7 linked regions of the Danio rerio genome follow. The protein of the gene in region 1 interacts with the protein of each later gene in a pairwise test. Links are inferred from orthologs where the notes say so. Each region holds a gene or a part of one and is shown in the gene's direction. Other genes may lie near its edges.

What was found.
Region 2: the proteins of plekhf2 (region 1) and mbip interact in binary tests that used the Homo sapiens proteins (3 or more experiments, as listed by UniProt). The two-hybrid records come from large-scale screens. The link is inferred for Danio rerio from reciprocal best matches to the Homo sapiens genes PLEKHF2 and MBIP.
Region 3: the proteins of plekhf2 (region 1) and rabac1 interact in binary tests that used the Homo sapiens proteins (3 or more experiments, as listed by UniProt). The two-hybrid records come from large-scale screens. The link is inferred for Danio rerio from reciprocal best matches to the Homo sapiens genes PLEKHF2 and RABAC1.
Region 4: the proteins of plekhf2 (region 1) and max interact in binary tests that used the Homo sapiens proteins (3 or more experiments, as listed by UniProt). The two-hybrid records come from large-scale screens. The link is inferred for Danio rerio from reciprocal best matches to the Homo sapiens genes PLEKHF2 and MAX.
Region 5: the proteins of plekhf2 (region 1) and prkar1aa interact in binary tests that used the Homo sapiens proteins (3 or more experiments, as listed by UniProt). The two-hybrid records come from large-scale screens. The link is inferred for Danio rerio from reciprocal best matches to the Homo sapiens genes PLEKHF2 and PRKAR1A.
Region 6: the proteins of plekhf2 (region 1) and ube2z interact in binary tests that used the Homo sapiens proteins (3 or more experiments, as listed by UniProt). The two-hybrid records come from large-scale screens. The link is inferred for Danio rerio from reciprocal best matches to the Homo sapiens genes PLEKHF2 and UBE2Z.
Region 7: the proteins of plekhf2 (region 1) and setbp1 interact in binary tests that used the Homo sapiens proteins (3 or more experiments, as listed by UniProt). The two-hybrid records come from large-scale screens. The link is inferred for Danio rerio from reciprocal best matches to the Homo sapiens genes PLEKHF2 and SETBP1.

The regions. Positions count from the first base shown.
Region 1 is NC_133191.1:44,847,369-44,849,625, reverse strand, and holds the end of plekhf2 (pleckstrin homology domain-containing family F member 2), read left to right. Parts: intron 1-789; 5' UTR 790-800; coding exon 801-1,544; 3' UTR 1,545-1,757; downstream 1,758-2,257. UniProt on the Homo sapiens protein: May play a role in early endosome fusion upstream of RAB5, hence regulating receptor trafficking and fluid-phase transport. Enhances cellular sensitivity to TNF-induced apoptosis.
Region 2 is NC_133192.1:40,162,938-40,167,016, forward strand, and holds the start of mbip (MAP3K12-binding inhibitory protein 1), read left to right. Parts: upstream 1-1,279; 5' UTR 1,280-1,291; coding exon 1,292-1,444; intron 1,445-1,951; coding exon 1,952-2,068; intron 2,069-3,475; coding exon 3,476-3,688; intron 3,689-4,079. UniProt on the Homo sapiens protein: Inhibits the MAP3K12 activity to induce the activation of the JNK/SAPK pathway. Component of the ATAC complex, a complex with histone acetyltransferase activity on histones H3 and H4.
Region 3 is NC_133191.1:11,086,695-11,090,879, reverse strand, and holds the start of rabac1 (prenylated Rab acceptor protein 1), read left to right. Parts: upstream 1-1,385; 5' UTR 1,386-1,413; intron 1,414-3,868; 5' UTR 3,869-3,878; coding exon 3,879-3,949; intron 3,950-4,185. UniProt on the Homo sapiens protein: General Rab protein regulator required for vesicle formation from the Golgi complex. May control vesicle docking and fusion by mediating the action of Rab GTPases to the SNARE complexes.
Region 4 is NC_133195.1:31,576,429-31,580,683, reverse strand, and holds the start of max (protein max), read left to right. Parts: upstream 1-1,455; 5' UTR 1,456-1,563; coding exon 1,564-1,599; intron 1,600-1,928; coding exon 1,929-1,955; intron 1,956-4,255. UniProt on the Homo sapiens protein: Transcription regulator. Forms a sequence-specific DNA-binding protein complex with MYC or MAD which recognizes the core sequence 5'-CAC[GA]TG-3'. The MYC:MAX complex is a transcriptional activator, whereas the MAD:MAX complex is a repressor.
Region 5 is NC_133178.1:35,128,392-35,132,643, reverse strand, and holds the start of prkar1aa (cAMP-dependent protein kinase type I-alpha regulatory subunit), read left to right. Parts: upstream 1-1,452; 5' UTR 1,453-1,550; intron 1,551-4,252. UniProt on the Homo sapiens protein: Regulatory subunit of the cAMP-dependent protein kinases involved in cAMP signaling in cells.
Region 6 is NC_133178.1:22,323,243-22,326,758, reverse strand, and holds the end of ube2z (ubiquitin-conjugating enzyme E2 Z), read left to right. Parts: intron 1-1,182; coding exon 1,183-1,359; 3' UTR 1,360-3,016; downstream 3,017-3,516. UniProt on the Homo sapiens protein: Catalyzes the covalent attachment of ubiquitin to other proteins. Specific substrate for UBA6, not charged with ubiquitin by UBE1. May be involved in apoptosis regulation.
Region 7 is NC_133180.1:56,228,735-56,232,234, forward strand, and holds part of setbp1 (SET-binding protein), read left to right. Parts: intron 1-2,554; coding exon 2,555-3,500.

The DNA.
Region 1 (2,257 bases):
TATATATATATATATATATACACGTATATATGTATATATACATATATACGTATATATACATATATATATATATATATATATATATATATATATATATATATATATATGTATATACATATATATATATATACATATCATATATATAATTAAAAATGCCAGTTAAAGGGTTATTTGACAGGACAGTAGGTTGACAGAAAGTGAAAAGGAAGAGAGAAGGATTTAAGATTGGGAAAAGTCCACAGGCTGGGATTTGAACTTGGGATGACTGGAGCGTTTCCGCTCCAAATGTCAGCGCACTAACCACTAGGCTATTTCGCTGACTGCATGTTGTTTTTGTATGTAATTATTAACCAATTTTTTTTTCTTCTATAGGTTATGAATAAAATATGTTAATTCTAATCGTTTAATAAAATGACCGACCCCCATTTTGGGAACCACTGGCTTGGGTATCTGTGTCTAAAGACCATTTCAGTGTGGTCATGCCATAATGCCATTGGGTCATGAACATTTCCTGCTTGTGATCAAACTATTTCAAAACTGTAACGAGAAAATTCAATCATAACTTAATGTAAAAACATCTAACATGACATTATTTATCAATTTGTGGCTCTTTTTGGATTCTCTGAAGCTATAGATATTACGAATGGAAAACAGGAAACTCGTTGTGACCATTGTTTTTGTTTACATTGCTCAAAATGGTCTAGGGAGAATGCAAAGGTAACTTGAGCCATTGTAATCATCTTCATTCCTGCTCCCATCATGACCCCTTTTTCTCTCTTTTATTCCTAGGTGTCTGAAAGATGGTGGACCGCTTGGCGAACAGTGAGGCCAACTCTAAACGCATCGGGGTGGTGGAGGCATGCTTCGGCACAGCAGGCCAACCGCTGGCCATCCCAGGTCGAGTTCTGATCGGAGAGGGCGTTCTCACAAAGCTGTGCCGCAAAAGACCCAAAGCTCGGCAGTTCTTCCTCTTCAACGACATCCTGGTGTACGGCAACATCGTCATCCAGAAGAAGAAGTACAATAAGCAGCACATCATCCCTTTGGAGAGCGTCACCATAGACACGGTCGAGGACGAGGGCGAATTGCGCAACGGCTGGCTCATTAAAACGCCCACCAAATCCTTTGCTGTTTACGCCGCAACCGCAACGGAGAAGTCCGAGTGGATGAGCCACATCAACAAATGCGTTTCGGACTTGCTTGAAAAAAGCGGGAAATCTCCTACCGGCGAGCACGCCGCAGTCTGGGTGCCCGATTCAGAGGCAACCGTGTGCATGCGCTGCCAGAAGATGAAGTTCACCCCTGTCAACCGGCGCCATCACTGCCGGAAGTGTGGCTTCGTCGTATGTGGCCCGTGCTCAGAGAAAAAGTTCCTTCTCCCCAGCCAGTCCTCCAAACCAGTGCGCGTGTGCGAGTTCTGTTACAAGCAGCTCTCGACGGGTGCTACTCTCCCGCCCCGATCAGACTCCTACAGCCGGCAGGGCTCCGACTTCGGCAGCAACAACATCTCAGATGACGACGATGACGACGACAGCAGTGACTGAGAGTCTCTTTTAGGAAACACTGACAATATACAGATCCCAATATTTTAGTCTCTCATTCAAGGTTTGCAAAGGTTCCTCTGGCAATAACAGTTTCCCTAAATAATTAAAAGCCCTGTGCAAATGAACAAAAGGTTTGATGGGAATTGATCCTCATGAACACTACTTGTCGGCTCGCTACACTTCCACATTAAAGTCCCTCTCAGTCCAATTTAAGTCCTTTCATGTAGATGCATTTCTTGGCAATGGTGCTCTTTCATCTTCTTTTGCTAGCATTTTCTTACTGCTACTACGCCGGAGAAGCGAATGTTGCATAATGTGATTACAGGCTGTTCTTGAGCATACCCTCCCTCAGGTGAAACAGTGTAGTGCATTAAGTTTTAAACGACGAGCTGCGTTTAATTCTTTGAACAACTAACCACTAACAAACCATGATAGTATGTGTTTTCTCATGTTCTAGTAATTGCTAATGACAAATCAGATAGATGCTACTAAGCTTGTAAATGTGTATATGATGCCGTGGAGCAGGAAGCCTGTTGCATAATTCATCTGACAAGGTCGTCGCTGCCTCAGTGCCTTCTTATTTATCCTCAGGAAGTAGATCCTGGAAAGGAGAACAGTTTGACTTGGGCTGATTCCTTTACTTTGAGACGTCTGCGTTTAACAGCGCACCTCATATACTGCTTAGAGGCACACAGGTACCATTTAATGACTGT
Region 2 (4,079 bases), on another chromosome or scaffold:
ATAAAGCAGTTTTTCATTGGGAATTTTAGTATTATAAAGTACTATAAACTTTTCTAACTGGTGAATGACATGATCTAGTGGGTCTCTGTCATCTTTAATGTGCGTGTTTGTGATAACAGGAGGCGTGGTTTTGGCCAGCAGTGGAGAGATTGAATTTAAAAAATATTATGCTAGCCGGTTATCATTTAGGCTGATCCCCTAATGCACATTTAATATACACTGCCTGAATTAATGTCCACAAACCAGGATTGAGGAGTCTTTTATATTATTGTACTGACATGCTGTTGTGGTGATAAAGACGGCATAATCTCTGTAATTCATTACAAACATGCACTGTTTTAAAAACTTTTTAAACTTGTAAAACTCACTCTCGATCACATTTGATGATGACTGATGATCACAGAAAGCTGAACAGATCTTTTAATCCCAGTTGCTTTGCACACTTTGTGCCTTGTTGATATGATTATGCGTATTACTACTAATACATGTTAGTACGCGGCTGTCAATCAATTCGGTGGACAGGGAAACCGCCCTCCTATGTCACGATGCGGTGGGCCTCAAAATAGGAGGGATTTAAATCCTATTTTAACATTAAGAAATTTTTTAAAAAGAGACCTATTGTCTTTATATCACCTTAATATGACTGTGGACACACACTATACCTATACACAGTTCTGTCCAAACAGATTAGAAAATATTATTTTCATCATAGGTGCCCTTTAAAATTATATTTTATGCAGATATGCTCCACTACACAATAACTCAATTTTAGCAAGCTATTCATCTGGTGAAATTGCATTTATATCGCAATATATATCACAGTGAATGAAAATATTGCAATGTCAGTTTTTTCCAATATCATTTAGGCATACATTTTTTATTTACAGGCCTTTACCTTTAACGTTACACAACCTTTTGAACCCTATTTGTTTGTCTGGGTGTGTGTATTTTTAAATAGCTTTTTAAAGAATGACATGAAATGATCAGGTAAATGCATTACCCTTGGCATATACATAAAAACCCGTTTCATTTTAGTCATATTGATAAATTGTAATGTTAAATGCGATTTAAAAACACAAAAGGGTGAAACAGAAGATTGTTTTGTGACGGACAAAATAATAAACATTAAACACGGTCAATGTCAATATTTAAACTATCGAAATAAAGTAATTTACCTTCGTTTATATTTGCAGTAGTCAATTTTAAATGCTCGTTATTTTGCTAGCGGAAGTGAGGTCATGTTATGCAGGAGACCGTTGGTCCAATCAGCGCAGCAGCCGGGAGCGGAAGAATGATGGCGGCGGACGGCGAAAGACGCGGTGCGTGTGCTGCAAGTAAACAAGAGCAAAGCAGAAGCCAGATTTCACTTCATGCAAGACAAAGGGATGCTTTCAGAGACTGCGTTGCCTCTATTGTCGACTCCCTCGCTGAGCTTGGAGTAAAGGTTTGTTTAAAAGCAAATTCTGCCACGGTGTCACTGTTTGGGATAGAGCTCTTAACAGTCATATTTGTAACGTTATTTCATTTGAGATGCCAAAAGCTAAATATGTAACGTTAAATTATGGAACTTTTCCGAAGTAACAAGATCACCCATGTCGTAAAATTATATGATTTGTCCGCGCTAATATGATTTGTTTCAATCACTTAGATAATTTGTCTGTACTTGTCTGCAATAAGTTGTAATATGCAATATTTCCACTGTCACTGCTGAAATAATCAGCCTGTCCTGGAGTTTTTATAATGGTCTCATATGTTTCTTTTCTGGATTTTTATTCAATTTTTAGCTGGTTTTACTCCCTGCCTCCCCAGCTGACAAGTGCCTAAAATCTTACTACTCATTTAACAAACCATATTGACCAGCGAAATAAACCACCTAGTCTGTTTTAGGCATCTTTTCTGCATTGACAATTTAGAAACCACAACAACAACAAAAAACTGTCTTATTTTCCAGTTAAAAATAGATGATAACGCATTGAAAATCAGTGCCAATGTCAACAATGTGAACATCTGTGAGCTTCAGCCATCTCATGTGCACTCCTGTTTACAACAGCACATCTCCAAACTACAGGTAAACAGAGTCATGTGCATTATAACATTTACTAACACACATAGCTGATTTTTTAAGTATAAAGATATCTTCTGAACCTTTAAATAGATCTTGTAAGTGAATTTTGTTTGCCATTTATTTGTTTACTTATCTGTAATGAACCTTATCCAGAGAATTGGTGAACATTTGTTTCCACAATGGAATAAAAAATTAAACCCATTATGTCACAATTGTAATTCAGAGAATATCATCAGTATTGCCAGAAGGAAACATGATATATTATTGGTGGAAAAGTCAGAATTTTATAATGCTATTTAATATTTTATCTTGCATTTTGACTTTTTATGTTAGAATAGGGACTTTATTGCCCACAAATCTTCATTTGTATCTCACATTTTTGATAAAACGTTTAAATTACAAGATATAAATTATTATAAACGAAGTCAAAACCATTTGAAACCCTGAGATGCAGAGTAACAATACTGAAAATAGTCAGAATTACGAGATAATGTTCATCATTTTCAGTTGCAAGTATCAAATCACAATGCGTTGAAGAAAAGTCACAGTTATCCTTACTTATTTGTTTTTTCTTTGGTGGAAACAAGCTTTTGCTGCAATGTTTTTATTTTATGAAATTAAGGCTTTGAGGGATAGAAAGTAAGTGCACTCTTTTAGTTGATCATTAAAATATATAAAATACATAGTACTGACTCATGTTTATTTATAATTAATCACATCCAAATTCAAAGCTTGTGTGTGTGTGTGTGTGTGTGTGTTTGTGTGTATGCATGTATGTATGTAAGTGTGTGTGTGTGTTTGTGTTCGCGTGTGTGTGTGTGTGTGTGTGTGTGTGTGTGTGTATATATATATATATATATATATATATATATATATATATATATATATATATATATAAATATATATATATATAAATATGCTATTTATTAAATTTTTTTGAGAAAATGTTTATTTACATTTACATATAAAATATATATAATATTTTTTATTGTAAAATTAAGTTTTATGTATATGTGTGTTTTAAATATGCATACTACACACACACATATATATTATGTTACAACGTATTTATATTTTGGTCACGGTTTACTACGATTAATCGTTGCCCTGCACTATTAAATTCATATTATGCAAGTGGAATAATGTTGTTTCCTGAATAATGTTCTTAAAATGTAAATATGTTCAGTGTTTTTTGCAAAACAAAAACTGACAGGGCAAAATGAATCCTTTGTCCTTCAAGATGGTTCTCTGATTAGCTTATCAGCGTTTTTTTTTTTTTTAAATGTATATGACCAGCATTACTGCACATTATCTTCTGACTCCTTGCTAAGACACAGTTTATCATTATAAAGACACTGTAAGACTGTCTTTTACCACATTGTTTTTTTTTTATTAACCTTCTGCTTCTAGTCGGTCTCTGAGAGTTTGAAGCAGATAGTGGAGTCTGAGGCAAATAACTGTACAAGTTCCAACCCAGACATCGGTGAAAGGAAAGAAACTGCACATACATCTGAGCAGATGTTTACTGATGATCCTCTTACATCTGACCACTGTGCTGCCCTTGAGGATCGAAACAGGACTCAAATCGATGATAACGTGCAGATCAAGGCTGCTAAATCAGAGGTAAATTTATCACTTCAAAATGTAGGCATATTTTACACAAATCACAGTTGTATTTATTGGAATATTTAAACAAGTAAGTGATCATATGAATATTTACAAATTGGGGTAAAACGTAGTGGTTTTGAAGGATAGTTGCAAAATATAAAGATTAAAAATGACAATTAATGACAATTTTTTATTATTATTATTATTATTATTTTTTTTTGGAGCATCCGTTATGTAGTGTTTTTATATGTCATCAAATGATTCCTATTCGAAATATGTTTGGCACCGATGACGTAGTGGTTAGTGCATCAACAAATGCACTCACGGCGGTGATCACGGCGACCTGAGTTCGATTTCCACCTTGAGGTCCAATGCCGACCCTTCCTCTTTCTCTCTGCTCCCCATG
Region 3 (4,185 bases), about 34 Mb from region 1:
CTGTGCCTACACTACCTGACAAAAGTATTGTCGTCGATCCCTGCTGTAAGAGCAACAAATAGTAACTTGACTTCTAGTTGATCATTTGGAAAAGTGGCAGAAGGTAAATTTTTTGATTAATCATGTTGAACTGCATCACACATACTGCTGACCTATTGGAACCCTCATGGACCCAAGATTCTCACAGAAATCAGTCAAGTTTGGTGAAGGAAAAAATATGATTTGTGTTTACATTTATTCAACATCAACAGCCTGAGATATCAAGACATTTGCTGCCCTTTTCATTACATATCACAGGAGAGGGCAAATTCTTCAGCCGGATCACGCTCCTTCTCATACTTCAGCCTCCACATCAAAGTTCCTGCAAGCAAAGGTCAAAGTGCTCCAGTATTGGCCAGCCCAATCACCAGACATAAAAGTTATTGAGCATGTCTGGGGTAAGATGGAGGCGAAGGCATTGAAGATGAATTCAAAGAATCTTGATGAACTCTGGGAGTCCTGCAGGAACACTGTTTTTGCCATTCCAGATGACTTTATTAATAAGTGATTTGAGTCATTGCAGAGATGTGTGGATGCAGCCCTCCAAGCTCATGGGAGTCATACACAATATTAATTATTTTTCCATTGCACCATGACTTTATATTCTATACTGTACATTATTTCTGTTAAGTCTTTTGTTTTAGCAAAGTCAGGCCTTACTATCCTCATTAAATAATAAAAAATCAAGGCATAATCATATTTTATTTTGGTAAAAGAAGCGTACACTAGAGGCCTTTGCCTTTCAGCCACTGATACCAAATCATCAACTAAGTCAAGTTATTTGTTGTTCCTAAAACTTGGATAGGCCACAAGGTTTTTGGCAGTGTGTACTGGAAAAGAACAGAAATCCAATTCCTGAAATTAATAGCATTTAGCTAGAAAAAAAGTATTTATTGACATCACATATTTATAATGCTGCAAATGAATGTCAACTATACAATGTTCATTACTAGGTATGTCTGTTCTTGAATATTAAAATATATTATATATTATCAAGGGCTGATTTAGTGATTTTGGGGCCATAAACAATTCCAGCCAAGGGGCCCAAAAGTTCTAGAATGCATCTTTTGTACTTGAATTTTTAAAAATTATTTTCATATTTTTTTAGTTTTGCTGTTTTTTTCTTATATCATTAAACCTCATTTTCTATATTTTATCTTAATGCAAAATAATAGTTATAACATGTAAAGGACATTGTATCCATTTAAAAAAAATTTAGGTGCATGCCCTGTATGCTGATCCGTGTCACTAGGAGGCAGTCGCAAGTTTGACTCGTGTTAACTTATGTCAACAGAAGAAGATCGTCACCGCTGTTTGCGAACCACATCATATCCGCTGCACATCAACACAGTCAACACATCTACACAAAGTGCTGTGAGTATGATTGTTACTTTAAGGTTTACTCCCCTTTTAAAGCACAATTCTAGAAATATTTCGTCTCACTGTCTGTCGATTTCTCTATGTTACTAACGTTACCGATTGATCTCAAAGTTAAGGGGTATCGATATATATTTTGAGAAAGAGCGCTTGCTGCTGTCTGTAACGGATTTGATAAACAAACTTTATGGATTATGTTTTGTGACATACCAAAAAAAGAAAACGTTGTTTATTGTCTGACTGTAATAATTTATTTTTTGAGGCACATCTGACGTAATGTAGCAGCTTAACAAACTTGCTCTACCGGATTGTTTCTCTTCTTGAACGCAGAGTTTCAGTTGCAGCCCATGAGTGACATCATTTTTCCAGTAACGTCATTGAACACGTTCATAACTTACCATAACATAGAAAGCGAGCTTCATAGATTAAGTGAAGACATACAGAGGAAGTTTAGAAAGTTGCTTTCTGTGAAGGAGATCAAATTCATTGTTTTCCTATCAAGTGTAAAAGTCTTAGTATCCCTTGACTAAAGTTATGTGCATGTTCTTGTACTTATAACGTTAGAGGTAAAGTTGGTTTTATATTCGCACATTTAGAAGTCCCTATATTGTTTACCATGTTACTTTGAATATTCGATCGGAATTAGCCTGCAAGTATGACTTCTAAATAACATTAATTCTATCTAATTGATTGTGAACAATGTTGTACTTTGATAATCATTTGGTGCTTATATGATTTTCCTATTCGGAATTTGCAAAGAATACTTTTCTGAAATTATATTGTTAAGGAGAATGTCTGAATATCCGAATATAACTTTTCCTTTATCTTATACTTCACTTTGAAGAACCTTTCATCTATAGTTTGCTATTCATTAATCCAGCCTTTTGAAAGGGTTTTTTCTTAATAGGTAGATCTTTTTGCTGTTGTTCGCCTCATTTTCTGTTTAGTTATGAGATTTCAATGCTGAATTTAGATGAAATTTTAAGCACTTTTTACCTGACTTTATTGAATCAATTATCTTGTTGGATGGTCATCATAACCACACTTTTTGATGTACCAAAACATTTCCTAAATATTTATAATAAAGAAATAAATATGGCAAATATGTGTTTTTAAAACAGAAATATATTGCATCATTTATCATGCATCAACGTTTTAAATTAGAAACTGTAGCCTAGTGTAATTTATTAAGCAAATAACTGACTGGCCAGCACATTCAACTTTCCTCAGTCAGAATGTGGCCATTTAAATAATAATAAAAAACTAAAACATAATAATAATAATAATAACAACAACAACAGTTAAGAGCTTCACAGTTTTTCTAGCCTCTTGTATAAGTACTTTACACTTTATTGGTTATTTTTTGTTTCAAGAAAAGTGATTGATAATAAAAGTTACTTGTCAAATCTTTTCCCAATTTGAAAACAATAAAGTAGTGAAAGATGACTTTGCTTATGTCAGGTGTTTTCTTGCACAGCTGGATGTTGGACTCTTGAAAAATAATTGTTTGTATTGGCCAAAACTGATTAACTGAAGTCACACCAGGATTACGCTTGGTCTTAATGCCTTTTTCGATGGGTTATTTTCACTATTTATGATGGCATAGCAGTCAAAAAAGAACAAATGAGCTCATGTATTGGACAAATTCTGGACCTTTGTCAGTGTGGGTGGGTGGGTCTTCCGAAAACCCCTGGCTACGGGCCTGGTGAGTGTTTTTTTTAAGTGGATAAAAGGATTAGTTCACACAAAAATAAAACTTCTGTTATTAATTACTCACCTTCACGTCCTTTTAATTCCTGCATGAAATCTAAGTTTCCTCATCATCCTTTTATGGTCCAGACACATTTATAGTCCAGAAAAGGAACTAAACACATTGTCAAAACATTCCATGTGACTTCAGTGGGTCAACTATAATCATATGAAGCTCCAAGAACACTTTTGTGTGTCAAAAACGTATCAGATCAGGACATGCGTTTATTATGAACTCTGATTACCTGAAGCGGAAGAGAGGACAAATAGTGGTACTTAATCACATAATTTAAATTTTTGGGTGAACTAACCTTTTGAAGTTTTATATGAAAGGCCATGGTCCTTTGTTATTCATACAATGCAAGTCAACAGTTACCTGCACTTATAGAGTCAAACATAAATATACAGGCAAAACATATTTAACTTCTGTGACACCTGAAAACACATTGAGGTCTAATAAAGGGAAACTATAGGTCTGTGCAAAAAGCTGAGCAATATTAACAGTAACTTATTATTGCATCTTACCCAATGATCCCACTTTCTTCTTTTGACAACCACAATGTCCTTTACATCTCAATCAACCCACATAGTATAAATGTACCAGTGGCTCTCAACTCTGTTGGAAATTAAATCAACATATGAATATATTTAAATCAAAATAGTAATACATTCTTGTTGATTAAGATATGTGTTTTATTATTAGACACGTCGAGATGGATGCAAAAGTAAGTGACCCCTTTAGCAGCGAGGCAGAGCAGCTTCCAGGAGCAGGAATTGTGGGAAGGTGAGTCTGTCACCAGAAATACTACAATCTGTAAAAGCCCAAAACTCCAGAAATTGTTTATTGTTTAACTCTTATTGAGAGTCACATTAGATAAAAGACACTGCTAAATGATTAATTTCTTTAAAAAAATTATTTTAATTGTAACTTTCTTTGTTGTTGTTTATATATATATATATATATATATATATATATATATATATATATATATATATATATATTTATATGTATGTAAGTAT
Region 4 (4,255 bases), on another chromosome or scaffold:
TCTGTTCCCAGAGATGGGTTGCAGCAAGAAGCGCATCCGCTGCATAAAACATATGCTGGATAAGTTGGCAGTTCATTCCGCTGTGGCGTCCGAAGGAAATTAATGTCTAAGCCGAAAGGAAAATGAATATGTATGAATGAATGAATGAATGAATTTCATATTCCTTTATTATAAATTTTAAGGAAATACTTTTGGTGTATCAAAAAGTGTTTATGATCCATCCGACAAGCGAATCCAGCTAAAAATAGTGCTAAACATAATAATTAAATAGAAAATAAGGCGATAACTGCAAAAAGGTCCACATTTTGAGAAAAAAACAACCACCTCTTTCATCAGGCTGCTATGGGCCTGCTATTAAAGAATCAGGATCAGTTTTATTTTGAAATGCATTATATAGTTTTCTATGTTATAGTTTTCTTCTGAAATGATCTGCTGTATTTGATCTAGATAATTGATTAAAATTACAAAACTAAATACTTTTCCCTTATAATTTAAAGTTGAAACAACTGTCTATATAAAGATTTATTTTTGCCCGATCACAGTCATAACAACAGCAGTTGTTTGTTAAAGGGTTTTAAATTATTAATATTAAAGTATTTTCAGTAATCTCTGATCACACTATTGATAACAGTATAAAGTAGGCCCACTACTAATGAATCAAAATTGTGTTTTCTAAGACACAGCTTTATACTGTTATGAATAACACCATTATTAGAGAATCAGGATCAGTTCTGTTTTAAAATGAGATATGTTACATTAAATTTGTCATGACAACAAGTTTTCCTCTGAAATATTTTGTAGCTACAGAATTATTATTATGCTTTAATACAGCTGTGATAAAACCACCACATCCATAATAATCAAAATAGCCAAAACAACATTGTTTTTATTCTCCGGGTTTTTTTTATATAATTGTTATTAATAAAGTATTAGCAGAAACTGACATCCAAACCGTGCTGTTTTTGTTTGTTTATTTCTGTCATTTTAAACTGTCATCAAGTTCACATTTAAAGTAGGTCGTTAGAGTAACCATGTTTCTGTGTTTTTATAGCTCTGATAAGAGTACTAAAACAAGAATATTACCAATGGTCTAAATATTTTTATAGTTTGCAATTACTCACAAATATGCACAGTATTAGTGACCCACGTATTAGTCACAAACAACGCTGAGCAATCTCCACGTGTCTTGCTGGTTCCGAGACATGTAAATGAACTACAATTACCACCTCCCATTGCCACCATAAGGGCTTTCCTTCAACCCCATGTAGAGACTCCGCCCAGAAAAGCTGTCTGGGTGTTGTAGTCCTACACAATAGTTCCGTGGTTACATCCACCGACTGCGTAACTTAAACAAACGACAAGTCCCACGATGCTCTGCGGCGCAATCACAGACGTGACACGCCACGGTAAATGTCCGTGTGTAGGCGAGTCACGTGTGGGGAGTCCGTTGATCTCGTTTCGTGTAAGCAGTGAATCTCTCCTGTTTGTTCATTTGATTTGGGCCCCGTTTCATGTTGTTTTCAAAACAACATTTCGTGTAGATTTATCTATCTTCGCCGAAGAATGAGCGACAACGATGATATCGAGGTCGACAGTGATGTGAGTATAGTTATTTTTGTTTGTACTCTGCATGTTTGAAAATGAAACCTCTTGTATTTTCGATACTTGAGCCTCAATACGGGGCTAGCCTGCTAGCTAGTTAGCCAGCCAACCTAGCGTTTGAAATAATTTCCCAGCCAGTTTATTGAGAATATCCAGCCAGATAAGCGATTAAACACGGGGGTCGAGTCTATACTCGTCTCCGTATGTGTACATTTGCGATTATGTGTAAGTTACTAAAACAGTGTATTGCATCCATCAAATAGCCAGTTAAGTATCACTCTTACAGCTGTAGCTACAATTGTACTTTCTGTTCTGTTTTCTTACAGGAAGATTCACCGAGATTTCACGGTGTGGTGCGTAATAAGCGGAGCAATTAATCCAGTTTAGCCTTTAATGCTGAAAATATCTTCTCTTTTTGAGATTAGCTACCATATATTTCCGGGTAGGTACTGAACGCCGACTGATTTGCATCGGTGGAAGACAAAACAATATAGGATGATGCCTTAAAAGGGGGCATGGATGTGTTGGATTCGATGAGCACCGGGGTCTGCTTGTTTTGGGTGGTTCGGGGAGCTCTGTGCTCGACAGCAGGGCACTTGCTGCAGGAGGGAGGGAGGGACGTTGGCTGAGCGAGAGCCGCAGCCACACTGCGAGTGCGCGACGCGATAGCCCAAAAGCTCGCGTCGCAGAAAGCCAGCAGCGAGATCTCTGTATCCGAGCATTCTGCTGTGTCGTGACGCTCGCAGTGTGTGTGTGGCGCAGTAGTTAGACGATGGAAATATACGACGGCAGGGTTATCATTTGAAATCTATGGCTTTAACATCAATGGTGTCTTGTTTTTGTTAGATCAGACCGTATATGAATAAATAAGCAACATTAAATATTAATACTGAACCTATGGAACATCCCCCTTGCCGATTTCCAAAGACATTTTGTACATTGTTTATACTAAATTGTCAATGTACGGATAAATTATTTTAAAATGATAGTAATACACATATCTTTGTTATATTAAAAAAAGGGTTTAATGGGGATTCTGTGACTCTTATTTTTCTAAATTAGAGAAATCTTAAATTCGTAATGGCATTGGCATTAATGTTGAATGTGCTTAAACATGTAATATCTAAACAAGCAAAAATGAATACATTTAATTTACTTTTGCAATAAATTGAACAAGTCAGGTTATGCTTAAAACAACAACAACAAATATCTGTCAACAGGGAACGAAAATTGATGAGTTGATTTTTTGAGCTCAATAAGCTCAAATGTTTGCTGTTTTAATCATAAGCTCACTTCATTTTGATCCATTTCAGGAATTTATATCATGTCATTTTGTTTCTTAAGTAAATATCTTAGTTTAAAGATCTTTCCATATTTTATCTGCAAAACAAGACGACAATACTGAGGATAAACTAAACTTTTAACAGTGTGATGAGAACATATATTTTCTGGTTAGTGGAAATCTAGTTATACTATTTGTTTTGTAAAATGATTAAGTTGTATTTTCAAATTGTGTTCACTGTCAATTTAGAGAAAATGTTGAGTTGACTTATGTGACCCTGCTACACTAACCCAGTCTTATGTTGCATGTCAATATCATTATATGGGTACATGATAAATGTACATTATCAATATTTATTTTATGCTACAATTCATTACAATATTGAGTTATTTAGTAAATATACCATAAGCAAAACTAAATTTTTGATAAGTACTGTGCGTTAAACTTGAAACTCAGCTTTTTTTTTAACCCCCAGATTACAGATGTTTAAATTGCTGTATGTTGGGCAAGTATTGTCACGGACACCTCATTAGTTCAGCTTTCAGATAATGCACGAATCTTAATTCCCAAAAACGGAGACATGTCACTGGTTTTGTGCTACAGGGTCACATATTGTCTTTTTATAATTAGATTTTTTATTTAGTCAAAGTATTAAAATGACCTTCATAAACCTGCAGAAAGATTGTGGTAAAAGTTTGGAACAAATGGAGTTCACGATGCAGTATTAATTCTTTTAATGGGTTTTTAATTACAAAAATTTCCAGTCTGATCAGTGACTTTTGAGAGAAGTTGGTTTGTCATGCTTTCCTTACATTACTCATGCATTTGCAATAGCCTTTAAAAAACAACACAAACAACAGCAAAGAAAACTAGGAACATTTCTTATGATATCTTATAATCCAGATACAAATTAAGTGCAATAATCTTTAGATTTTGTAATTAAAATTAAAGAGAAGCATTTGGTGTAGAACCTTGTCGTTTCCTATCCAAAAAAACTGATAATTGCAAATTTTAAATGAGCTTGACAGATGAAACTGTCTCTGAAATACTGGGCACAGCATAAAATGGTGTGTTAAATTGAGCAATTTGACCATCAAAAGGTCATAGGTCTTTTGTTTTGTATTTATTTTTACAATACATCAGCGTTGCTTTCAGGAAATTAGATTTAGGTTTCATTTTCTGGAATAGTACCACAGTCAGTTTTCTACTAAAATGTTTATGTTCTGTCAGTGTGGTGAGAAATCGAGCCCCGCCCCTGCAATCGAGTTTGCATAGGACCCTAATGGATCGTCTACGTTGAATGCCTGATGAAAAGTACTTTCTATAAACTATTCTCAGTCTTGAGATTTTAACAAGACTAATCATATTAGT
Region 5 (4,252 bases), on another chromosome or scaffold:
AAGAAATTACAGCAATTTTACCATCTTTACTTGTAACCACAGCCGCATGTCAGTACAATTATAAAAGAAGCTTCAATCTCGGTTTGTGGACGTTAAATCAGGTTTATTTTGTACATTAACATTACAGATATCGATATAGCAGTGGATAATAACATGTATCCTCTCACATTCGCATTGCAAAATCAGTGCAAAATTCAACACGAGTGCTGTGTGTGTGTGTGTGTGTGTGTGTGTGTGTGTGTGTGTGTGTGTGTGTGTGTGTGTGTGTGTGTGTGTGTGTGTGTGTGTGTGCGTGTGTACACTTTGTAATAAAACTCTGTGTGACTCATCGAAAGGCTTAAATAAACTCCACAACAAATACATAAAAAATAAGCATCAGTAAAGTTCTTACTGTAGTATTTCTCACAAACATTACGTGAGATCTGCTTCCTTCTTGTCTGTCACTGTGCTGTTTATCTGACTCAGCTGAGATTGTGGCACACTCTGACAAGTTTGGGAATGGTGGGCGGGGAGAACTAGCATTAAAGGCACAGGCAACAAAAACAGCTACAGTTTGTCCAGAGCAGAAAATATCCAGAAAGGTATAATAAATAATCTGATGGTTGTTTTGAGCTGAAACTTTACAGACACATTCTGGAGAAACAAAAGACTCATCTTAAATCTTGAAAAAGTGGTAAAATAGGTGCCCTTTAAAGTTGCACAGTTCCAAAAAAGAAATACATTTATTAACCATTTACTCAATCTCAAGAGGGTAAAGCGTTTATGAGCATCTTACATCTGCTGAACACACACAGACTATTATAGAAGTTATATATGCAAAACACAATTACTATATCACTAATACTTATAGATTCAATGGGTATCGCCAACTGTTTTATAATATTGTACATTTGTATGATTGTAAATCTGTTTTGTAAACTTAACCTAGACACTAAAACAGGACCTGGTTTCACCCTGACACATTTTGCATGGCCTGATTCATAGCATAAGTTCAGGAAATGAAAATATTTTGCAGGATGTCAATTCAGCTGAAGGAAAAGAAAACTTAAATCTAGATTATTAAGGGTGTACTGTAATAACAGTCAATCAGACATTAATTTTAAGGGGGGGTCATATCTTCGCAGTGTTGTGACCCTGCTTGAATTGGCACAATTTAGGCTTGGGTTTATGTACAGAGCCATTAACCTTTTCAGCTGTCACCAGATTCATTCTCAGTGCTAAACACGTGGGTAAGGAATACTGTCCTTCTGTATTTGAATGTCACTCCCGGAGGAGCGTAAAATGTGATTTATACCCTCACGTCATGTGCGGCCGAATGTTCTGAGTTTTCTGGTTGATAACCTCGATCTCCTCTCTAAATACAAAAACAAGCCCTTGCCCTTTAAGGTTGTCAGGGGAAACCGGCTTCCCAGATCGAGGCGCATTGACGTCAATCGTTGTTTGTGATTGGTCATAACCTTTTCCGGTGAGGCGTCCATCCATCCAAGGACTGTGAGAAAATCAGTGTAAACGGAGTAAAGCACGTCGACAAACTCCTCGAAGCGACTCAGGTATGAATATTTAAATACAGCGGCTTTTACTGTAACGTTTGATGATGTCGATACGCGAGCTGACAAGCTCGTAGAGACGTTAATTTAATGCCATCGGCTTCCGTTGTTGTGATAATGTAGTTTGCAAGATGGCGTATTTTGCTGCTTGACAAAACTGGTTACAAAAAACACAGAGCTGGAAGAAGCTGCAGGATTACGCCGATCAACACTTTAACATTGACTCAATGAAGTCTAGTTATATTGGAATATGTTTTCTGGACCAAAATGGTTGTTTTCGCATGACCGAATGGCGTAATGTTGAGAAATGCCTGTGGGGATGCGAACTGCGAATTTTATGAGCTCAGGGGCCCCGACAGGAACCAGGAGCCATAGCATGGCTGTCAAAAATCAACAGTTAGATGAAAGTTCAGTATATATCGCTTTTGTGTGGTGTCATTGTAAGTTAAAGTAGAGATTTTAGACTAGATATGCGATGTAAGATTTATGTTAGTTTGTTTCAGTTTGACAACACGTTTGGAAGCTTGTAACATTTAGTATTAACAGCAACATCACTATCTGCTAGCATGGATTTATGATAGATTTGGTTATGACCTGGATGTTTCACGTGGGGTTTAATCCAGAGGACTTCCACTGTCATGAAAGACATTTTGAAATATAAATAAAAAGACCAGAAAGATGCATATCTATACAGAAAACTTTGAATGTTTTACACATTTAGTTTTTCTTCTTTTTTCACACATTTTTTTAATCTTCTTAATTTACACATTTAACTTCTCTGTGCAGGTAGAAATTCATTAGATGTTAAAAAGTTACAATTTCTCATAAATATTTGCAATCCATATCCTTCTCGTTTATTTGATCTTGTAAGCACTTTACAGCTACACATGTACTAAAGTGCTGTACAGTCAGTAGACATGGGCCGGTGTAAGATTCTGACACTATTATACCCTTAGATGAAAACATCACAGTTTCAAAAACAAAAACTTTTTTTTTCCCCTCTTTGAACACATTTTATTTTGAGAAACATTTTAAGTATTTTGGAGCAGTGAACATGTCAGGATAAATATTATAAATAAATCGTAGACTTCTGCTGTTTTATTAGTTTCAAAAACACAAACTTCTGGACCATTTGAAACACCACTTTTGGGTATCTTTTCTGTTGGAGATACTGCTGTCCTAAAAAACAAACAAAAAAAATTATTAAAGAAATCTTGCATATACCGCAGGAATGGTATAGCAAAAACATTTGACAGGTAAAAAAAAATGACTTTTCCAACTACGGTATACCTTGAAAACAGTTATTGTCCCATGCCTACAACAAACAAATGTATAAAACTAAACTCAATAAGGACTGATTAAAAAAATGGATGCAAACTTTCAATGTAAGTAACTGCTCTGATATACCACAATGGCAGATCTCTAGAAAAAATTTAAATGAGAACTTCACACTGAAAATTAAAATTTAATTATCCTAACAGAAATATTTGAGTTCAACCACTGACTATTAAAAGGAAAGTTAGTATAATTAGCAAATTGCTTTCAGCAAGTCATGAGACAAGTTTTTCTGCAGTAATGTTTTATTTACATGAGAAAATAAAGAGAAAATTAATAATCTGGAGAAGCAAAAGCATCAAACTGAAAAGAGCTCGTGCCATAGATATTATTGTGACGTTGTTTGAGTAACGTTTTGTTAAAATACCAAGTGTATTAATTTGATTTATTTTCATGAGAGTTAAATATGAAGTGCAACAGAATAAATACCTCTCATTCAAGTTTTATTACAGATATGAATCTGAAATTCAACTTCATTATTTGAAATGATGAAAGTTTAAGGCCAAAACTAGTAATACCACCCATATTTTTAAAAACACAGTAGGCACATTCTGGAAAAGGTGGATCTTAATCACTAAAAATGATAATAAATGTTTGATAAAATTGCAGAAAGGTTTGTGTAAGGGTAGGAGAATAGAAAATAGGATTCCCCTATGGATATGTTAATATGACTGTTATATCAAAGTAAAGACATGATAATGACAAAAGATGTATGTATAGTAAGTGTTTTAAAAGATGCCACAAAAATCCAAATTTATTCCCGTATGCTTGATATACGACACAATATTTATATATGGACAGTGGACAGGAAATGAAGTGGGAGAAAGGGGGTGCAGGATTACGAAAGTTCCCTGAGCCATGACTTGGGTTGGAGCGCTGCCAATGAAGCTGCTGACTCCAGATGCCTGATTTTATTAGTGTCTTGAACTGTTTTCTCTGAAAGTCTCAGCAGTACAAAAACAATTGTTATATTGAGTAATTCTGTATTTAAATTCTTTATGCAATGAAAACTCATCATGTTTACTTTAATAAAGCACATTATTATTCGTGTGGTGGATAGTTTATATGTGCCAGTCCAGAGAAAAATTATATTTATTTTTAAAATCTACAGTTAAAATCTGAAAATAATGTTTCACTCAAGAACAATGTTCTGTGTGAAGTTAGTTTGATGGCTTGGCGAGAACACCCTTTAACCACTTCCTTCCAGCTGCACATAAATGGAGCCCAAAACCTTTAATGAGTAATTAGTTACTCAGAAACCGTTAATGTAAAATTAAATGATATATTAGAATTTACAGTGAAATAAAAACTTATTGCATCAAAGGCATTTATTTTCTTTCCTCCATTCAAAGAACATGTGTGACTGTGAA
Region 6 (3,516 bases), on another chromosome or scaffold:
TATGCAATATTCTAGAAATCACAAATTTCATATGAGAATGTTTACTTTGGTGGAAAGGGCTTTTCTTTTTGACCTTCATCTGAACAACTTGCTGTTAGAGGGTTTTAGGCTGTAAAGCAATGGTCTCAAACTCAATTTCTAGGTGGGCCGCAGCTCTGCATAGTTCAGGTCCAACCAGCTCAAATTCACACCTGCTTAATAGTCTCTTGTAGGCTGTCTCTCAATATGTGTTTTTCAGTATTCTTGCATCCTCGTGTTCTTGTTTAATGTCATCATTAAACGTCAAAGTTCAGTTCCAAAACTCAAGACCGCAAGAACAGAGGACACGTGAAAGTTCCGGGATGTGTTCTTGATCTCGAGGATGCATTGATGCAGACCTAAGCGCAAAACTCGCCAAAAGTCCCAAAAGTTTTTGTTGCTGAATAAGGAGTTGGGAAGCAAAAACACAGTAAGGGTGTTTATTTGCTGAAATTCATATTAAAATCAGTTATATTTGTATTATGCGTATTGTGTTTGTGTGTCTGAGTGTGTGTGTGTGTGTGTGTGTGTGTGTGTGTGTGTGTGTGTGTGTGTGTGTGTGTGTGTGTGTGTGTGTGTGTGTGTGTGTGTGTGTGTGTGTGTGTGTGTGTGTGTGTGTATAAATATATATTTATTGAAAGGGGGAAAACAATAAATTATTGTGTATATATGCTGTAATGTTGAAAATATGTTGAAATAATTTCCTTCAGAAAGAGCGCATCATTTCTCACAGGACACGTTCTGTGTTTTCGCGGTCTCCCGAGTTTGTACTTTCGAAGTGACCTGGCAAGAACAGACGTTACAAGAACGCAAGTCTGTCCAGTTTGAGACCTTTGATCTGATAAAGAGACCATATTAGTCCTATTTAATAACTTCAAATAGCGTTAAGCAAGCAGTGAATGTGAAATGTATCAGATCTACTGTACAAATTGTGTATTCTGTGCTAAAACCCTATCCCTAAACATAACCTTTACAGAATATATCAGAAAACAGTTTACTATTTGAGCTCTCTGGAAGTTTTCTTTATTTTTGTTGTTTTGCTTTTTTTTTTTTTTTTTTTTTGCTGTTTTGTAATGCTTTTTATGTTTGCACTTAGTTTAATACCCTAAATGTCTTTTTCGTCTTCCTTATCAAGTTGAAATGTTTTTGTTGTATTTCTCCCAGGATCCTTTTGGGGAGAAGCGAGGTCGCTTTGACTACCAGGGTTTGTTGACTCGTCTCAGAGCCATCCAGAGGCGATTGCGGGAAAAGTGCCCACCAGAGGACAACGACGGCGACTCTGACTCTGACACCAGCTCTTCCGGCACCGATCCAGACAGTCAGGGCAGCTCACAGCCTTAGAGAGACGGCAAGGTTAGATAGTTTCCCTTTACCTGAGCTCTGGACACCTCTCAAGCGAGCACAGATGCAAGCAGAGCTGAAACAACCAGGAGATCTTGCTCATGGCGAACAGAGTTTCAGCCTCTTTCAAATGAGTATCGTTTTTCTTCTTGCTCCTTGTGTGCTGGCGAGTGACTGCATTTGTTTTGCTGTTTTTCTTCCTAATGAAGAAAAGGTTCAGTCAGTATGGGGAATGAGGGCCTTGCATATAGATGTATGTGTGCGTGTGTACATTTGTAAGTGACAAAATAATACTCCAACTCTTCAGCAGGTCAAAACAGCCTCTACAATTTCAGTCCATGTTAATCTGTCTTTTCCTGCATCCAGTGTAGAGCTAAACTGATAAAAAAAATAATAATAATAAATAAGTCAAATACTTAATGATAATAAAATCACTCTTACAATTTTTTTTTTTTTTGGCAAATACACACATTTCCCTCTTAGCTTGTGTGTTTCCTGGTCTTTTTGTTCCACAGTAAAACAAAAACTTCATATATTCTTAATCATTTAAAAATAAATATGGTTGTGAATTAAGATAGACATGCAACCCATTATGAATATCACACTTTAAGAGCAAGACAACGGATGCAACTTTAAAAAAAATGTACATATAATTGTTCATAGAGAAGCTTTATTTTAATGTTTAATGTTCTTAAATGCTATTGAACTGGTGGAAGTATCAGCAGCCTGCCAAGCACTTATGAAAAAGGTTGCCTTTTGAGTGTTGTCTACTCGTTGGAAATACCGTTTTGTTTGTTGATCTTAAGTCTGTCTCTAATCGTAAAGCTGTTGAGTGTCAATAAAAACACCTGTTCAGTTATTGTTCAGGGAATAATCCTGAATTTGCAACTTGACAAACATACTTTAAATGTGTTTTTTTTTTTCCCTCACTCTCAGACAGCAATTTCTCTCCAGCCTTTGCTCAGAGTGTCCCTTGATACTGCTACAAATGTCTCTCTACCGGGGATACTGTGGTCACTGGTGTTCTCATATGCAACAGGATGAAGCTGCCTGATACAGAAATGGAACAATATTCATTTATGGGTTTTAACTATATATGCTCTAATTAGTTTTCATGGGAGTGCACCTATTTTGCAACAGTCTATTGCAATATATCCCTTTAAGTAGCAGGTACAGTATATCATTTACCACAGCATGCTAAACGCAACCAAACTGTATACATGTACATTTATACAATTTATTCTCAGAAAATCAGCTTACATATAGTGCTCTATTGAGTGAACCATATGAGACGCAACCATACAACCACAACTCCCTTAAAAAAGGTTTGTCAAATGGGCCCAAGTTAACTTGTGAGGTTTTTGCATGTGCTAAAATATGGATGCATTTGAGAGAGATTTTAATCTGGTCTAAGATATTATATTTTGGTGAGACAGCTAAGTAAGATTTCCTGATTGTTTATTTTGAATGAACAATTTGACAGTTTCTTTTCTAGGATGACCCGCAACAAGAAACAGTTCCCTAACTATTTAAGTTTGACTTTGTGATGTACTAATGCTTTTTCCCTTGTTAGCAAAATGAGAATGGATTATGTAAATTATTAATGTATCAATCAATTGCAACTGTAAGGAAAAATATAAAAAATTGTTTCTGATTACAAGTGTTTCTTTATTATCTAATCTTTATCCTCAACCTATTTTAATCACTCAAAATAGTAGTATTAGAAATGGATATGAAATCATTAAGAGATAAGAGAGAAAACTTCTATACCTCTATGAATAGGTTCAGTAACTTCACTTGAAAGGCAAGTAAATGCCCTGTTTACTTGAGATTAGAGTAAAATAACTGTTCTTGAGCAAGAGCCTTATTAAAAAAAAAAAAAAAGATGATTGTATAGGGAGGGAAATATTGGATTGAAAGATGTTTGCATGTGAAGTCTTTAATATGCTTATATTTCACATATGCTGTTGCAATAAGGCAGATTAGATTGATAGATGTTTGTATGTGAAGTTAGTAGTTTCATATTTAAAACATGATATTGCAGTAATAATGCTTTGTTCAGTTTCAATGTTTTGTAATAATACACTCTGGAGTACATTTGGAAAAAAATATTCATATATATACTTTGAACTTAATAAAAGAATCCTGAAAAATGTC
Region 7 (3,500 bases), on another chromosome or scaffold:
GTTGAAATGTCACAAGCCGGTTTTGAGCTCTTATTGCCTGACTCAATACAGGTCTCGAAATTGCGACCATTTTGGTCGCATATGCGCCCGAAAATTAATCTATGCGACCTCATAATATATTTGGGCGCATTAGTGCGACTGCAGATAATGGTTGTAGTGCGACCTGTTTTGATTTTTTGTAAAAACGTGCTGAATCGCTCTTCCCTGCGGCTATATTGGTTCATATTAGCTGTCATTCACTCAAGGTATTCCGCTGTCAGATGACAAGGAAGGAGCTTTTATGACCACGGGAAATACAAACAGCTGAAGAGTAAAAACTTAAAGCACACAGGTTTGCAAACCCCACCTAAAGTTGAGGCGCAGATGAAAGCGATCATGACATGTCACGTGGTGAATAATGATCCGCCAGCTGTGATCAATCGAGTACGCGCTTCTTGGAGAAGGTGCCCGAATCTCCATGCGTTGCATTCACTGCGTGTTCAGCGCAAATGTCCGCTAAAAGTCAAATCTAATACTGTACATATCATCGCCAAAGAAGCTCGCCTTTACTAAGTTTACACTGAAACTGTGGCTCATAACAAAGACCGGTATTGCGCCGATGGTTAGCGCAAGAATCCTGCTCTGCCTGCTCATAAATTGGGTCGGCTGACTCGCCAGCTTTTCCACTAACACAGAAAAATGAAGATAATCTCAGACTGAACCTTTAAATTGACACAAACTGAAAGCAAAACTTTTAAAGAGTGATAGAAGTGAGACTTTACTTACTTACTTTTCTTTATTCTTTTTTGAGGTGTATATTATTATTATTTTTTATTTACTGATGACTGCTTTGCAGCTTTCATCATTGAATTGAATGATTTATTATAATCTTTTGTTTGTTTTGTAGCAGAAATATTATTTATTAATTTGACATGCATATAAAAACAGCAGTACAAAATAAATATTTCCTACTGCAATGCTTCATTTTTGTTTGATGCAAACTATACAATTATTTTTCATAAAGTAACAGACTTTTTATAGCAGATAACCTACATTCAAGCACATTCAAGGCAGTATCATAATAAGAAATGGAATTCATTGTTACTATTATTGTCATTTTTTATCATCATTAATATTCTATGGCCTAATTATTAGACATTCATTTTGGAATTATTGCACACAAATATCAATGTCTTCGCAGCATTAGTTAGATAGTTGTTTCTGGTTTTTGTCAGTCCTATTAATGTTGTTTTAAAATACAATAAATCCCTTAAAAAACAATTTGCAGCGGTGCTCATTCATTTTTGGTGGGTGCTCCTAAATTTTTTCTGGTGCTCCTAAAATTTTTTGGTGCTCCTAAATATTTGAAGTTGAGAGCACCGGTGCTACCAAGTAAAAAAGTTTATTTCGAGCCCTGCAATAGGTCGGGCACATGCACTAGTCAACATGCATTACTTCAGGAATGCTTTAGAGACTGAAATTCTTTTTGCACCTTGCTAGTGAGTTTTACAAGGGCAAGTAATATTTTCCATGAAAAAAAAAAATCTTGCTGGGTTTGCTCGTAATAACTTCACTGAAGTGACTAGATTTTACATTAATTAACAGATGCAGTTGTGATGTGTTTTTTCTCTGGTGCATAGTTCAGCTGAGTTCAGCTCACATTCACAATTGTTTAAAAGACAGGCCTTTCATCACTCCAAGATGTCAGCGTTCAAGGGCACTTATATAAACCTTTCTAAACTGTTTTCCCACATTTGTCTTTTCATGCATTTCTTTGGTTTATGTCAGAAGTTGTTTCATTTGCTGTACTCTGATCTAAACAAACCAGACTCCATGAGTCTAAATTATTTTCTGCTGATGTAATCAGACATGTCAGTGCCAAAGTAACATAATATTTTCCAACCTCTTTAAGCTTTAAACATTTAGAGGGTTTTTGTTCAATGATTCTCAGTGTTTTTTTTTTCTTTGTTTTTGTTTTCCATTTATTGCAGTAAAAGTTATAGGTGCAACTTGTTTTTGTTTCTAAAGGTACTATTTGAATTTGGTCTTTTTGGTCTCTTTCCTGTTGTGAGCCTGTTGAAAATGCTGGGACCCCAGATGTAAACTAATCTGAAACCGCAGCATAGACTGTCTTAGCCTCAGCTGCAGAGCTCTGAAATGGAAGTTGACCTGTTGAAAAACAAAACTGTGGTTAAACTTCATTACCGCCTGTAGCTGTTGGCTTTGAAAACAGGATGGCTTTACAGAACATATCCTAGTATCAAGTGCTGATCTTGCAATACGTTATTTCTAACAGACCAAACCACAAGTCTCAAAGGCTTGCACAATGGTGCACAGTATTATATGCTTTCAGTAGGTGTGGCCCACAAACTGAGAACTTGGCAGCAAAACAGGAGTTGTTATCAGTAACAACATGTAGGTTCCTAGTTATAGTTGTTTTTTTGTATGGGGTGTGAATGTTTCTCTGTCAAGCTACCTAGTGTAAGAGAACAAAGAGCTTGTAAAGATTTACAGAATGACCTGGAAATAATATTGTTTCATATTCTAAATTTTATCTTTTGTCTTTTTTTTTTAGACTTACGAAAGGCCCTCTAAACTTCTGGGTAAAACTGAAAATGTGATGATGGAGAACACAAAACCAAAGCAGTCTAAAAGCAACGACATTCTCCACCTTGACTGGACAAAGAAGTTGGATACTGTTGGAGAAGTAGGATCCCAAGAGCAAAACAGAACAGAACCAGAAACAAAAAAAGAATCAGCATGCACCAACAAGGGTCCTTTGCCAGAGCCCAGCACCCCCTTCTTGAAAACACAAGTCAAAAAAGTCGCAGACGGTTTATCTGGAAGTCACTTTGGATCTGCCATGTCCTCACCAAGCACTGACTTACTTGCAGCATCTTCAGTCAATACAGTAATGAGTCCCTCAACTGACTCAAGTCTGTTCTCTTTTAACAAAGACAGAGGTTTGCAGCAAGTCACTGAGCAAGTTTTTGGGAACATCAAACGTAAATATGGTAGAAAAGACCCCACCAAAACTCCAGTCATGCATAATTTAGACCTTCAGTGGGTCAAAAAAATGGACAGAGATACTGAAAACCAAGATAGTGCTAAGGAGAAACAACCGTATAGCCAAGATAAATGTGCATTTGAAGAGGAGCCTGAGAAGCCAATCAATAGGCTGGATGATGATAATAAGACAACAACAGGCTGTGGCACTCATTACACAGAGGAATCAAGGAGTAAAAAGCGAAGAAATCGAAAAGTTACTGAAGATAGCATGGTATCTAATGCACAAACGGTACAGCAAGATGAGAAGACTGATAACACTGACCAAGGGTGCACAAAACTTAAAGTGACAAAGAAAACCGATGTCAATGCACCAAAACAATTTGGTTTTAATTTACAGCAGAGCCAGGAAGACATTGCTGGGACAGTGACTGATGATGCTGAGATGTTTCAGAACAGACCAAGGAAAACCCCAGCAGGAAGAGCGAGATCCATGATTGATGTTGACAAGCAAA